Elephas maximus indicus: one gene and its partner. The protein of the gene in region 1 interacts with the protein of each later gene in a pairwise test. Links are inferred from orthologs where the notes say so. Each region holds a gene or a part of one and is shown in the gene's direction. Other genes may lie near its edges.

The links. The genes of interacting proteins can lie anywhere in the genome.
Region 2: the proteins of TUBGCP4 (region 1) and SDSL interact in a two-hybrid assay, tested with the Homo sapiens proteins (2 studies listed by BioGRID and IntAct). The two-hybrid records come from large-scale screens. The link is inferred for Elephas maximus indicus from reciprocal best matches to the Homo sapiens genes TUBGCP4 and SDSL.

Annotation. Positions count from the first base shown.
Region 1 is NC_064828.1:12,618,158-12,625,646, reverse strand, and holds the start of TUBGCP4 (gamma-tubulin complex component 4), read left to right. Parts: upstream 1-4,363; 5' UTR 4,364-4,370; coding exon 4,371-4,448; intron 4,449-7,489. Other genes in the region: ZSCAN29 (zinc finger and SCAN domain-containing protein 29), read right to left, coding at 1-154, 1,984-2,188, 2,637-2,954. UniProt on the Homo sapiens protein: Component of the gamma-tubulin ring complex (gTuRC) which mediates microtubule nucleation.
Region 2 is NC_064840.1:11,502,122-11,509,900, forward strand, and holds the start of SDSL (serine dehydratase-like), read left to right. Parts: upstream 1-4,518; 5' UTR 4,519-4,753; intron 4,754-7,460; 5' UTR 7,461-7,483; coding exon 7,484-7,645; intron 7,646-7,779. UniProt on the Homo sapiens protein: Catalyzes the pyridoxal-phosphate-dependent dehydrative deamination of L-threonine and L-serine to ammonia and alpha-ketobutyrate and pyruvate, respectively. Also exhibits racemase activity towards L-glutamate and D-glutamate.

The DNA of each region.
Region 1 (7,489 bases):
TCTCTCCTGGATGGTAACAGATCGGCAGGCATTCGTCTGTCTCCAGTGTGACTGCCTCCTGGGAGTTCCCTCTCCTTGGAGCCCAGCAGATCTGGGATCCATGGCTCTCCTTGCTCCGGCCTGGAGACCACACCAGATTTAGGAAATGGAAATCCTGCTTGCAGGGAAGCAAACAAAGGATATCATAGTTTGGACTGATCATATAAAAATCTCTGAGTTTAGTCCTGCCTTTTTTATCCAAGGTTATTAGGAAAGCGTCTGGGGAAATGTTTTCAGGAAGTTCAATGGGTTGAGGAAAGTGGAGCAAATACTGGAAACTTCAAAAAATGAGAATTTTCCAGAGCAGGGTGACAAGAGAACAAGGTTCTGTTGTGTGTTCAGAGCAGATAATTCTATTCCAAGTTGCTCCCTAACTGTCCTCACCACTTCTTGGCAGGAACTGCTGCACACAGTTATGTCCTGTCTCCTATAGTTCTTCACCGGGGGCTAGAGAAGCAAACTCAGTGATTTTAATGTGAGGAGGGAGTTTGTCTTCAACTCATCCATTTCCATATTCAATCGGTCACTAAGTTCTAAAGGTGCTTCCTCCCTACTGCCACCATACAAGCCCGGACTCCTCATCGGCTCAAACCTGGGTAACTGCAGCATTCACTGCCCTTATCTACCCAACCCAGGCCCTTGCCTTCTCAGTCCACAGGCTATACTGCTGCCACCACATCACTTCTCTGTTCAAAGCCTTCAACCACTCTCTAAATCCACCTCGTCCGATCCGTACTCCACTCCAGTTTTCAGCATTAGAATTAGCCCTGCCCTGCCTGTTGGCCTTCTTGTCTACCATGCATTCTCCACTCCTATTAGACTCTTCTCTCCAGAACACAGCTAACTTTTTATTTACCATTTTGTGCTTTCTCTTTAACTCTCTTCCTATCAAAATTTAACTCATCCTTCAAGAAGCTGTATTTGCCAGTGTCTCAGAGACTCTCATCTCTCACCTGGCCAAAGCCCTACAGCACTCAAGCACTGAGCAACAAGTCACTGTTTGGTCCTGTTCCAGTACAGCTCAGCACATATTTATAGTTGGGTTCTCAGTCACACTGTAAGCTCAAGAACCTGCAAGGGGCTGAGCATGCTGTCGGTGTTTAAAAACCAACTGATTTAATTCTGCCAGTCTGTGGTGGGGTTCAGGGATTTGAGCTGGATGACTAATAAAGGCCATTACCAAACTGGCTTAGAAGGCTAACGTCTTGGATGATAAGATCAGAATTCAAAATAACCTGAACAAGTTACAGAAATGATCAAAGAAAAAAAATACAAAATGGACTTCAACAGAGTTCAAAGAAGAAAAACAAGTTCTACAAAATCAATTACAAGCAGCAGCAACTAGGCACAAAACCAATAGGGAAGGCTATAAGAATCCTGGGAGTTAACAGGTGAACAAAAATTATCAAGTAATTATCAATTGGATTATACTGAAAGAAAATGCAGCAAACTTGTGAAGGAAAAGCTCCCGTTCTGCCTTATCCTCACTGGAGTAATACACAGAACTTAGTTCTCCACAATTAACATTTAGGTTAAAGGAAGTTAATGACAACTTAGGTCTGAGAATGGAGCTTCCGGGGAAAAGCTTAAAAAATAAACACAGCTTCATTTGGAGACGGAAATGACTAAAAGGAGGATGTGCCTTTAAGTACAGAAAAGAATTTTTAACTAGAAAATAATGACCTACTATTATCATTACCAAGAGGAAATAAAATAGTTCCAAGTTCTGATAAAAACTAGGAAGTTACCCTCTCATGCACTTATCAAAAGTACAAATACAAAAAACACTTACTGTAGGCTGAGAGCTTAACTACATGCCTTCAGGAGGTCCCCAACAATTGCATATCTATTTAGTCCTGAAATCCCTTTCCCGCTCACTACTCCCAACCCTATTTCTCCCAGCTCAGAATGGCACCTATCTACCCGCATGAATCTACTCCTCACCGCTCCTTTGAAAAGGTCTGAGCTTCTCCTTTGGGTTCATCTGCTCCTGTGGTCCCAGGTCTGGGCTTCTTGCCCTCTCTTTCTTGGGTACACCCCTGGGCTGGGGTTCCACTGACTCCTGCCGAACACTTAATAACTCCTGTGATGATTTCAGGGGTGTCATCTTCTCCGAGCGCACTTCCTGCCCCTTCACAGAGACTGTGACCTAGAAACAACCCCCATTAATTGTCACTGCAAGGTCATAATGGGGGGCATTCCCAGAGGAGATTAATACCCCAAAAGATCATCCTTCTGGGACATGGCTAGAGTTGTAGGGATTGGGGGTTATAACAAACAAGTAATTCCATTACTGTTAGCTTAGAGCAGCTGGAACTCCAGAATGAAAAGACCAATATAGTTAACCCAACTACAAGTTAAAAAAAAATTCCTGATTAATGAGCTACAAATAATTCATTATGGCAGGGTAGGCAAAGATACACCCAGGTAGCATCTCCAGACAAACTCTATATGAAAAAGTTACCTGTTCCAGGGTCAGAAGTATAAGCATCGTTGAAGGAGACTGTGCCCCTCTTTAAACCTATCTATACCTTAACCTGGCTGTTACCCTTACCCTTTTGCGATCACACATTTCTGAACTCCCCCTCCTTTCTCACCGAACGTCCAGGTCTTCCAAGCTGTCTTTCTAAATCTTCCACCAGAGCCACTGCCTCCTCTCCACTGTCTGGACAATGTTCCTGTACCCAGTTCTGGATCTCCCCAGGTAAGACCGCCAGGAACTGCTCTAGCACCAACAACTCTACAATCTGCTCCTTGGTGCGTGCTTCCGGCCTTAGCCACCGACAGCAAAGTTCCCAGAGTTGGCTGAAAGCCTGCCGGGGCCCTGCCACCTCCTGGTAATGGAATCTCCTGAAGCGTTGTCGGAAGGTCTCAGAGTTAGTGCCATCCCCTCTCAGAGTGGGTCTGGCCATCATTCACAGCAGAAAGCAGCTTCCCTCTACTTAAGGGTCTGGGCTCCAGGGCTTACACCTATCTTCCCATTCCTTGGAGAATCACCTGCAGTCTCTCTGTAAGAGGAGTTTCTTCCTAGGGTAGAGAGAGATGGCACTATCAGAAGGAATATATTCATACGTCTAAAATCCTGCCAGGGCTGGCCTGACTTCCCATATGCTCCAGCTGGCCATCTGAGGTAGCACCATCTTCAGGGCAGCAAGCCAAGGCTGTGAGCTGAAGGAGAGAGACCTTTCAAAAGCTGCGTTTCTGGGCGACCTCCAGGGCAGCCCGGGGAAGCACCAGAGAACGGAGTACTGTGTCTGCTCCTCTCCCACCTCCCCCAAATCCGACCCCATTTAGCTCCCTTGACCAGTACTACATAGTGAGTTCGAACCATATGGGAGACCTGGAGTTCGAGAGGATCTACAGACAAGTCACCGTCCTGCCGAGAGCAGCGGGTCGCAGCTGTGTCCCCCGTACCTCGGCAGTCCTTCCCGGGGCCCTCTCCGTCCGCCCCGCCCCCTCCGGCTCCACGACTACCAACTCCCACCCCACACAAAAATCAATTACTAAATGTCGAGTCTTTGTTTCTCCCCCTCCGCAGAGGAACCGTTCGGCGAGGACTCGAGAGCCACTGAAGGGAAACCGAGCGCATCGGGAGAAGGCAGCTCCGACTCCTGAAGCGAGGGCCGGGTGGGCTTGGGGAGAGTCACACTGAGTTGGTAGAGAGGGAGTCCAGGGAACGGTCGGGATGGGTCTCCTGAGGACGAGCCAGGGTGCCGGCCAGAGGCTCCGAGGGCTGCGGGGCTTGCCGGCGCGGAACTCGGCTCCAGGAGCGGCGGGTACGGGGTTCCGGCCTCTTTGTCTTCGCTCCCTCCGGCCGGGTCACTCTCGGAGCCCCGTGCGCTGCCTAACACGGGCCTCCGGCCGGGCTACGGCGCCCTGAGAACACTCTCCGACACAGCCCTGGGAGCGTCTCCCTCAGCCCCCTCGCACTCCTGCCCCCGGGCCAGCTTCACCCACTCAGCTCCGGCTCCAGCCCCAGATCGCCAGCCTCCCAGGCCAGCTCCCAAACCGGAAGTGCGAGCGGGCACCTCAGGGCAGAAGGGGCGCATGCGCACCGGCCGCTACTACGCCTCCATCTCCCTCCCAGCCCGGCGGGAGCGAGCGGGTGGGACACGGCGGGTCCGCGCACTTCCGGGACTCGGCGCCGACCCCTTCCGCTCTTCCCGTCCGCTGTTCCCGCAGCAGTGGTTTCGGCGGGGTAGATTCCGGACGAACTGCCCGTCCCAGCGGCCTGTGCACGCGTCGAGGCGGGAGAACTCGCCTCCGTGGTCCCCTGGAGGGGCGCTGGAGGACAGGGTGACGTGGCTAGGGAGTGGAGGTCCGCCGTGGGAATGATCCACGAGCTGCTCTTGGCTCTGAGCGGGTACCCGGGGTCCATCTTCACCTGGAACAAGCAGACCGGCCTCCAGGTACTGCGCGCGGGAACGGCGGAGCGACCGCGGGACTAGAGCCGGAGCCAGGGGGTGGGGTCTGAGGGAGCCGAGGGGGCAGGGCGTGCAGGGCCCGCGGTGTTGTAGGGGGTGTGTCCTAGGACAGACAACCGGAGCTTGGTGCCCGAGGGGCCTGAGGGAGGAACACCCTGAGAGAGCTGGGCCGAGGCAGGGAAACTGACAGCAGACCCGGAACGTCCCCGCCTTGGGGGGGACGGAGCTGCTCCATAGGGTTTTCAAGGCTGTGACCTTTTTGAAGCAGGTTGCCAGGCCTGTCTTCGGATGCTTCTGAGTTGTTCGAGCCAAGGAGCTGGGCGGCTCCGATGTAGAAGCTAAAGAGGCTCCGTCTCTCATTTTCACATTTGCACTGTGTTTCAAACTGAATTTTGAAGACTCACAGCGCTTGACTCAATAAGTGCCGAGCAAATTTTGTTGAATGAAGAAATGAACGAGAGGGTGGAGAACTTAGAAGCGGGCCTTCAAGGTACCGGGGCTGTAGGAGGAGGAAGTGCTGAGGAGTAGACGTTGTTTGGAGGCATTATCTCGTTTGGAGCCCTGGTGGTTAACAGCTTGGCCGCGAAGCAAAAGGTTGGTAGTACCAGTCCACCATCCACTCCTTGCAAACCCTGTGGGGCAGTTCTGCTCTGTCCTATAGGGTCACTATGAGTCAACAGCAATGGTTTATTTGTTTAATCTCTTTTAACCTTTGCAGTCACTTTATCTCCATTTAACAGATTAATTTAGACTCAGAATGCTAAGTAACTCCTGGGGTTACATAGATAATAGTTGTTTTTGTTCGTTGCTGAGTTGATTCCTACTCATGGTGATTCCATGTGTGCAGAGTATAGCTGCTCTATAGGATTTTCAAGGCTGTGACCTTTCAGAATCAGGTAGCCAGGCCTGTCTTCCAAGGGTGCCTCTGGGTGGGCTTGAACCGCCGTCTTGGCTAATAGTTGAGCGATAAACTATTTGTGCCACACAGGGGTTCCTAGTTAATAATTTTTCTCCTGTGCTGTCAAGTCAGTTCCAACTCATAGTGACCCTGTGTGACAGAGTAGAACTGCCCCATAGGGTTTGCTAGGCTGTAATCTTTACAGGAGCAGATCACCAGGTGGGCTGGAACTGCTGCTGACCTTTGGGTTTGCAGCAAGCTCCTAATCATTGTGCCACCAGGGCTCTTTAGCTAATAATTAAAACCACACCCACTGCCATCGAGTCAATTCTGACTCCGTAAAGATGCCCCACGGGGTTTTCAACACTGTATGGTAATCTTTTCTACCATGCTTTTGTCAGTTTGTCATACTGTGCTAGCTTGCATGTTGCTGTGATGCTGGAAGCTATGCCACCGGTATTTCAGATAGCAGCGGGGTTACCCATGGTGGACAGGTTTCAGCGGAGCTTCCAGACTAAGAATAGACTACGAAGAAGGACCTGGTGGTCTACTTCTGAAAAAATTGTCCAGTGAAAACCTTATGAATAACAGAACATTGTCTGATAATAGTGCTGGAAGATGAGCCCCTCAAGTTGGAAGGTACTCAAAATACTACTGGGGAAGACTGCATCCTTAAAGTAGAGTTGACCTCAATGACGTGGGTTGAGTCAAGCTTTCAGGACCTTCGTTTGCTGATGTGACATGACTCAAAATGAAAAGAAAAAGCCGCAAACATCCATTAATAATAGGAACATGGAATGTATGAAGTATGAATCTAGGAAAATTGAAAGTTTAAAAAATGAGATGGAATGCATGAAGATCAATATCCTAGGCATTAGTAAGCTGAAATGGACAGGGTGTTAGTCGTCTTGAATCAGACAGTTATATGGTCTACTATGCCACGAATGACAAATTGAAGAGGAATGGCGTTGCATTCATCATCAGAAAGAACGTTTCAAGATCTATCCTGAAGTACAGCGCTGTCAGTGATAGGAAAATTCCATACACCTACAAGGAAGACCAGTTAATACGACTGTTATTCAAATTTACACACCAACCACTAATGCTAAAGATGGAGAAATTGAAGATTTTTACCAACTTCTGCAGACTGAAATTGATCAAACATGCAATCAAGATGCATTCATAATTACTGGTGATTGGAATGTGGAAGTTGGAAACAAAGAAGGATTGGTAGTTGGAAAATATGGCCTTGGTGAGACGCCAGAGATCGCATGATAGAATTTTGCAAGACCAACAACTTCTTCGTTGCAAATACCTTTTTTCAACAACATAAACGGCAGCTATGCACTGTGAACCCCACCAGATGGAAAACACAGGAATCAAATTGACCACATCTGTGGAAAAAGACAATGGAAAAGCTCAATACCATCAGAACAAGGCCGGGCCAACTGCGTTCAGAACAAGGCCAGCCAACTGCAGAACAGACCACTAATTGCTCGTACATAAGTTCAAGTTGAAGCTGAGGAAAATTAAAACAAGACCATGAGAACCAACGTATGACCTCAAGTATATCCCACCCGAATTTAGAAACCATCTCAAGAATCGATTTGATGCATTGAACACTGATGGCTGAACACCAGACAAGTTATGGGATGAAGAAAGTAAAAGGTCATGAAAAAGATGGGAAAGAAAACACCCAAATGGATGTCAAAAGAGACACTGAAATTTGCTTTTAAATGTAGAGCAGCTGAAGCAAATTGGAAGAAATGATGAAGTAAAAGAGCTGAAAAGATTTCAAAGGGCAGCTCAAGAAGACAAAGTAAAATATTATAATGAAATGGGTAAAGACCTGGAGTTAGAAAACCAAAAGGGAAGAACACGCTTGGCATTTCTTAAGCAGCAAAAACTGATAAAAAAAAATTCAAGCCTTGAGTTGAAATTTTGAAGGATTCAACGGGGGAAACATTGAATGATGCAGAAAACATCAAAAGAAGATGGAAAGAATAGACAGTCCCTGTACCAAAAAGAATTGGTTAACATTCACCCATTTCCGGAGGTAGCATATGATCAAGAACCAATGGTATTGAGGGAAGAAGTCCAAGCTGCACTGACGGAATTGGCGAATAGC
Region 2 (7,779 bases), on another chromosome or scaffold:
GGAAACCCTGGTGGCGTAGTGGTTAAGTGCTACGGCTGCTAACCAAGAGGTCGGCAGTTCGAATCCACCAGGCACTCCTTGGAAACTCTTTGGGGCAGTTCTACTCTGTCCTATAGGGTCGCTGTGAGTCGGAATTGACTTGACGGCACTGGGTTTTCTGGGAATTCTTTATGACTAAGAAAGCATTTGACACAGAGTTCAAGGTTAAACTTGCAAATCCAGGATGGCCAAGCGCCATGTTGGAGGCTCTGTTCTGCCTCTCCACGCAGTTCCCTTGCCCGGGTGGACGGGAAAGCCAGCTGGGGTGAAGATGGTGAAATGAAGCTTAATGAATAACCCTGGGGAATGACTGGCCAGGGTGGGTGCTTGATGGCCTGAGGTGTCAGGGACGGGGCTGTCTGACGAACACAGCTCTAAGAAGGGACAGGTCAGTGACCTGCCCACCTCTCTAGCCTCATTTGAAGCTGCCACCCTGTCCTCTCCCCACCCTTTCCATCACCCAGGCCAGGAACTTTGGCAACCAAGTCCATCTGGACTTGAGTCCTGTCTCTGCCTCTGGTGTGTGACCTTGGGGAAGCAACTTGGCCTCTCTGAGTCTGTTTCCACAATGTAGGATTCATTGCAGTACCCACCTTTCCAGGTTGTGTAAGGATTCTGTGAGGTAACGAGTTCATGTCCCCAAACTTTGGACATTCACGTGTCACCTTCACAATTTTTTGCCATATTTTGTGTCACTTCTTCTGTATACCACCACTCATCTGTCAGTTTGTCATACTCTGGTGGCTTGTGTGTTGCTATGGTGCTGAAAGCTATGCCACCAATATTTCAAATACCAACAAGGTCACCCATGGTGGACAGGTTTCAGAGGAGCTTCTAGACTAAGACAGACGACAAAGAAGGACCTAGTAGTCTACTTTTTTTGAAAAATCGGCCAGTGAAAACCTTATGAATACCTGCGGCACATTGTCTGTTATAGTGCCAACTTCCAGGTTGGAAGGCACTCAAGAGATGACTGGGAAGAGCTGCCTCCTCAATGTAGAGTTGACCTTAATGACGTGGATGGAGCAAAGCTTTTGGGACCTTCATCTGATGATGTGGCATGAGTCAAAAGTCCATTAAAGCAAAGATGTAACTTTGATGACTAAGGCGCAGCTTACTCAAGTCATGGTATTTTCAGTCACTTCATATGCATGCAAAAACTGGACAATGAATAAGATTTAATGCATTTGAATCATGGTGTTGGTGAAGAATATTGAATATACAATGGACTGCCAGAAGAATGAACAAAACTGTCTTAGAAGAAGAACCGCCAGAATGTTCCTTAGAAGCGAGAATGGTGAGACTTCATCCCACGTACTTTGGACATGCCATCAGGAGGGCCCAGTCCCTGGAGAAGGACATCATGCTTGGTGGAGGGTCAGCAAAAAAGAGGAAGGTCCTCAGTGAGATAGATTGACACAGTGGCTGCGACAATGGGCTAAAACATTGCAACGATTGTGAGGATGATGCAAGACCAGGCAGTGTTTTGTTCTGTTGTACACATGGTCGCTATGAGTTGGAACTGACTCAATGGCACCCAGCAACAACAATAACTTCTATGTAGTAATAATACCAACAGCAGCAGTAGTTGTTACTGTTCTCAATGTTCTACAGATATTACCTCATTTAACTCTCACACCAATTAAACATTAGTAACATTTGATCACCATCTTACCATTGAGAAAACTAAGGTCACACAGCCAGTAGGTGACAGAGCTGGTATTTGGGTCTGTGTTCAAACCGTTAAGCAATACTGCTTTGCCATGCTAGAAACTACTAGCCTTAACTTAATATTTTCCTTTAAACAGACTCCCTTTTCAAACTTTAATGCCTGCTTTAGCTTCTTCCTAAGCAGTAATATCCATGAAATTATGGATTTGAAATTATTATATATATAGAGAGAGAGAGGGAGAGGGAGCAAACAAGCAAGTGAGCCCCGGTGGTGCAATAGTTAAGCACTCGGCTGCTAATTGAAAGGCTTGCGGCTCCAACCCACCAGTGGCACCACAAGAGAAAAGACCTGGTGAGCTGCTGTAAAGTTTACAGCCTAGAGGACCCTATGGGACGGGCAGTTCCACTCTGCCATATAAGGTCGCTATGAGTCGGAATCGATGGCACACAACAACATATACATAGACCTCGCAGTTTCCGTCAAGTTGACTCATGGTGACTCCATGTGCGACAGAGTAGAACTCTGACCCACAGGGTTTTCAATGGCTGATTTTTTGGAAGTAGATCTCCAGGCCTTTCTTCTGAGGTGTCTCTGGGCGGACTTAAACCTTCATCCTTTCAGTTAGCATCCAAGCGTGTTAACCATTTACACCATCCAGGACTATGTATATGTATATAGATACATATACATAGATACTTATACATAGATACTTTTTTTTTTTTATAGATACATATAAATAGATACTGTCTTAGTTATCTAGTGCTGCTGTTACAGAAAACCACAAGTGGATGGCTTTAACAAAGAGAAATTTATCTCCTCACAGTAAAGTAGGCTAAAAGTCTAAATTCAGGGTGTCAGCTTCAGGGGAAGGCTTTCTCTCTCTGTCGGCCTTGTCATTAATCTTCCCCGGGACTAGGAGCTTCTCTGCCCAGGAACCCTGGGTCCAAAGGACATGCTCTGCTCTCAGCACTTTCTTGGTGGTATGAGGTCCCCTCCTCTCCGCTCACTTTCCTTTCCTTTTATCTCTTGTAAGATAAAAGGTGGTGCAGGTCACACCTTAGGGAAACTCCCTTTACATTGGATCAGGGATGTGCCCTTAGTAAAAAAAAAATAGTGAGGGTGTTAAAATCCCACCCTAATCCTCTAACGTGAAATTACAATCACAAAGTGGAGGACAACCACACAATATTGGGAATCATGGCCGAACCAAGTTGACACATATTTTGGGGGACACAATTCAATGCACAACAGATATATGTATATGAAACTCCCAACACAGAAAGAAATATCCAATTATTTAAAACAAACAAACAAAAAAAAAACAAGCTTTTGGAATATGCTGGTCAGCATGAAAGGGCCTGGCATACAGTAGGCATGCAATAAATGCAGCTGCCATGTTCCTTGTCCAAGCCTCAGTTGTGTGCTAAGGTCCTGCCTGCTTCAGGAAGTCTTCCCTGATACCCCCTCCCCCAGCCGCCCTCTGTCCTCCAAGAGGGTTTTGGAGTTGTCACTGGACTAGGTGTCTTCCTCTCCCCTCAAGGCTGGGGGCCGTCTCAGGACATGAACTCGGTCTTTCCCCTCCACTTGCCCCCGTGTCCCCAGCACCTAGTCCAGGACAGGACATCAGACTAGGACTGGTGCATGTTTAATACTGAGAATGATGGTGAAGTTGCCAGGTCCTTTCAAGGATTCTGGCCAAGCAGTTCGACTTGACCCCAAGGGGCCAGGAGTTAATCATCAAACCTGGGGCAGTTACATGCAATCAAAGAAGGACACAGAACACCTGGGCTGCCAAGTCCTTGCTGGTCCTCTCACTTTACAGATGGGGAAACTGAGGGCTAGAGATGGGCAGGACTGGCTCAGGTTCACCCAGTGAGATGGTGATACAGGCAAGATGTGAATCTGATCATGTCACTCCCTGCTTAAAGCCTTCTGTGGTTTCCTAGTGCCCCGGATAAGGCCCAGACTCTTGACTGGCCCAGGCACGCTGTGGACTCTGGCTCCTGCCCTCCTCTCCAGCCCTACCCCTGCCTTCTTTGTCCAGAAATACATCAATCTTTCAATTCTAGACCTTTGCACTCCGTGCTCCCTGATACCTGACTCAACTCAGACTTACCCTCCTCCAGGAAACCTTCCCAGCCCTCCAGGGCCAGGTGAGTTTCCTTTTCTGGGCTCCCACCGTCACTCCCTCTCTGCTGCCCCCTTCTGATGGCACTGACACTAATTGCTCTTCAAGGGCCCCATTAGGCTTCGGGAGGGAAGGGGACAAGCTGTCTTCTTTGAGTCTAAGAGTCCCAGGACATGGCACATAGTAGGTGTCCAGAAAAAATTTGTTAAATGAATGAATGAATGGCAAGAGTCGTTTATTTGGACAACAGGTGTTTGTTTGGCTTCCTATGTTGAATGTAAAATAACAGAGATAAAGAGGGGCCAGATAAAAATGGCTCGCTGATCCTTGTCCTTGTTTTTCCTAACCTGTCTCGCACCTAAGCTGACACCAACAACGGTCCAGGGAGAACGGCTTGGCGTCCAGGAAGAGCATCGGAGCTGGAGGAAGATTTAGAGATGTGTCACGAAAACTGTAGTCCGGGGTGGGGGGCAAAGGAGGTTTCTGTCCCTTGTGGCTGAGTGGCTTGGCCAAGCGGGCTCCTTCTCTGAGCCTCAGTTTCATCAGGGCATTGTGGGATAGGGAGGCAGTGTGGGTTGCTCTCGTCCCCTTTCCTCTTCGGTCCTGAGCCTTGGGAGCTGGGACTGGCCCTTTAACATGGGAGGCGGGGCCAAGGCCACTTCAGGCAGCGGGAAGCTGGGCAGAGCTGGTGTCCTGGGAGCAGGCGGGCAGCAGGCCAGGGCTGAGCACAGCTGGACTCTGCCGGGCTGGGAAGTGAGGGGCCTCTCCACGTGTGTGGGGGGAGGGTGTGCAGTGGTGTCTGTGACTCCAGGCTGAGTGGGGGGAACTGAGAGGGAGTGACAGCGGCCTACTCCCCACCAGGAGCCTTGGGACAGCTCAGGGTACCCTGCACCCTGCCTGCCCTGAAGAAGAAGGTAGGCACTGGGGACCCTCTGCTGGCCAGAGGGGTGGGGGCCGGGCAATCTGCCAGCCAAGGGCCAGCCCGGGGTTTCCCAGCCCTGGTGCCAGTAATGGTGACCTACGGGAAAAGGCCCCAGGGACTGAAAGGGAGTGGGGGGCGGGGAGCAAGACTGGTGGAAAGGGGTGTTGTTGTTAGTTTCCCTCAAGTCAAATACGGCTCATGGAGTCCTCACGTGTACAGGGTGTAAGAATGAAACTGCTCCACAGGGTTTTCAGAGCTGGGAACTTTCAGAAGCAGATTGCCAGGCCTGTCTTCTGAGGCAACTCTGGGTGGGTTTGAACTGCCAGCCTTACGGGACTGCCAGCCTTTTGGCTTCAGGTTGAGCACTTAACTGTTTCTGCCACCCAGGGACTCTGAAAAGGGTAGAGGCCTTTCCCCCAATTTGCAAATGAGGCACTGAGAGGTCACACAGAGCCCATGTTTCCCAGCCCTTTACTCCGCGGCAGCGTGGGCCCAGTGCTTCCAGCTCAGCCCCAGGGCCTGTCTCACACAGTGAGAGCTGCTGGGCCCCAGACCTCAGGCTGGGAGGGACCCATTCCCTGACTTTGGCCTGGGACCCTGATGGAGTCTGGGCTTGACAAGGCTGTTGGCAACTTGTGGTTACCCATTTAACTGATGCCTGCTGTCCTTTTGTGGGTGGTCAGTATTACTAAGAGGGCTGGGGAAACCTGGAGGTCGAGCTAGGAGAGTTTGGCTCCTAAGGACAACTGGCGATTAATTATTAAATATAATAATAATAAAGGGAGATATGCATAGTGATTAGAAGCACAGACACCAAAGCCAGAATGCCTGCACTTGAATCCTGGCTGTGCCGTTTCTAGCTCTGTGGCCTTGGACAAGTTACTTAACCTCTGGGTCTCAGTTTCACTGACTATATAATGGACGTAGTAATGTAACCTATCTCATAGGGTTGTTGTAGGGATTAAATGAAATAATACAGAAGGTGCTTGGCACAGTGTCCGGCTCATAGTAAATCACACACTGCTATTAGCTATTGCTGTAATCATTGTGACTTTGAAATGATGATAAAGGCCACCATTTACTAAGCACATTCTGTACGTGAGGCACAGTGCTTTTATGGCCTCATTTAACTCTCCCAGTGACCCTGTAACGCACAAGCACTTCATCCAGTTTGTTGTATGGGTAGTTCATTCTCAGGCCACCTTACTTCTCTCCCCTAAGTAGGTCCCCTGGTTCTTCTCCTTCACAGATCCCTATGTACTTGTTTCCCTAGGTACAGTTTTCACCATGCCTAATTATTTCGTTTATCTACATGATTATTTGTTAAATGCTGATCTCCCCCATCAGACTGTAAGTCAGCTCCAAGAGCAAACTTGGTCTTGTTTACCATGGTACCCAGGTACAGAGGACAGGGCCTGAACTGCATAGGTGTCCTGTATAGATGCTAGAGTGAGGCCCCACTGAGACAACGTCTCTAAAGTACTCAGCCCGGTTGTTAGAACATCTCCAAATTACTCAGGCTGAGGACTACAAACTAAAACGAAACCCAGTGCCATCGAGTCAATTCTGACTCAGAGCGACCCTATAGGACAGAGTAGAACTGCCCCACAGGGTTTCCAAGGAGCACCTGGTGGATTTGAACTGCTGACCTTTTGGTTAACAGCTGTAGTACCTAACTACTACCCCCCCAGGGTTTCCACTAGGGACTGTTATTGCCCCCACTTCACAGAAAGGGAAACTGAGACACAGAGAGGTTAAGGTGTTTGTCTGGGTCATACAGTCAGAGCTGGTTACTAACTTTGGTCTCTGCTTGTCCCCAAAGCCCATGTACTTGGGCTCCAGGGCCGAGGGGAGGCCTGGGCCGGGGTATGCTGGCTTTGGGGACTAGTGAAGACCCATGCCCCCCGCCCCAGTGCCCAGACCAGGGGGTGCGATTGATGAAAGTGGGAGGAGGTGGCTTTGCCCTACCTGGGGAGTCCTGAGGCCACCCTGACAAGGGAATGGGGTCAGATCTAGGGGCGAGAGGTCTGAACAGCTCTGATGCAGGGACCCCCAGCCTTAACTGAGGGCTTTGGCCTATGGGTATGTGCTTGGGGAGGCTGCAGCACTCCCCCTGGTGGTCATCAGTGGAACTGGTGGGCTGGTCCAAGGCTTTTCTGCTCTGGTGAGAAAAGTAGGGTTTTTTGTGCTTCTTTGTCCACAATAAATGTTTTTAAAAGTTTTATTACTGAAAGAGACCTTTCCTGACCATTCTCCATAAGATAACACCCCCATGCCCATCATTCTTATTAGAAATTTTATGGTCTGTTTCCCCAACTAGAATGTGAGCTCAGGCAAACTTGTCCATTACTGGGACTGCAGATTGGGAACCATGTAGCAGTAGTAGGTGCTCCATAAATGTTTTTGAATGAATGAAGGAATCCCCCACTCCCTCATTCATTCATGCATCACCATGCATCAGCCACATTCTACATCCCCAGCACATGGGCAGCTGCAGTAACAGAATGAAAGGGTCCCTGTCCTGATGGGGAAACTGAGGCTCAGAGAGGTGTGGATAATTGCTGGAGTCTCACAGCTTGGAAGCAGACAGAGCTAAGGGAGCCTAATTTGGGGGATTCTCTACCTCCCCCTTCCCTGTTCTGGGTAAGGGGACTCTTGGGTGGAGCCGCCTGGGCTTTGATGTCTGTGTCTTCCTGCAGGTGTTCTCAGTGTCTGCTGTCATATGGAGAGCTCCTTGATGGGTGAGCAGTTCCACACAGTCACACCTCTGCTGGAGAGCTGGGCACTGTCCCAGGTGGCGGGCACAACCATCCTCCTCAAGTGTGAGAACGTGCAGCCGGCCGGCTCCTTCAAGATCCGGGGCATCGGGCATTTCTGCCAGGAGGTGAGGGTGTGGGGGCAGGAGGGAAGGGGTAAGGTTGTACAGGTGGGAGGGGAGAGGTGAAGGGTGTGGACTAGATGGTGGTGAGGGCAGGAGAGGAGAACGGAGCTTGTGCAGATGGGAAGGGAGGGCTTTGG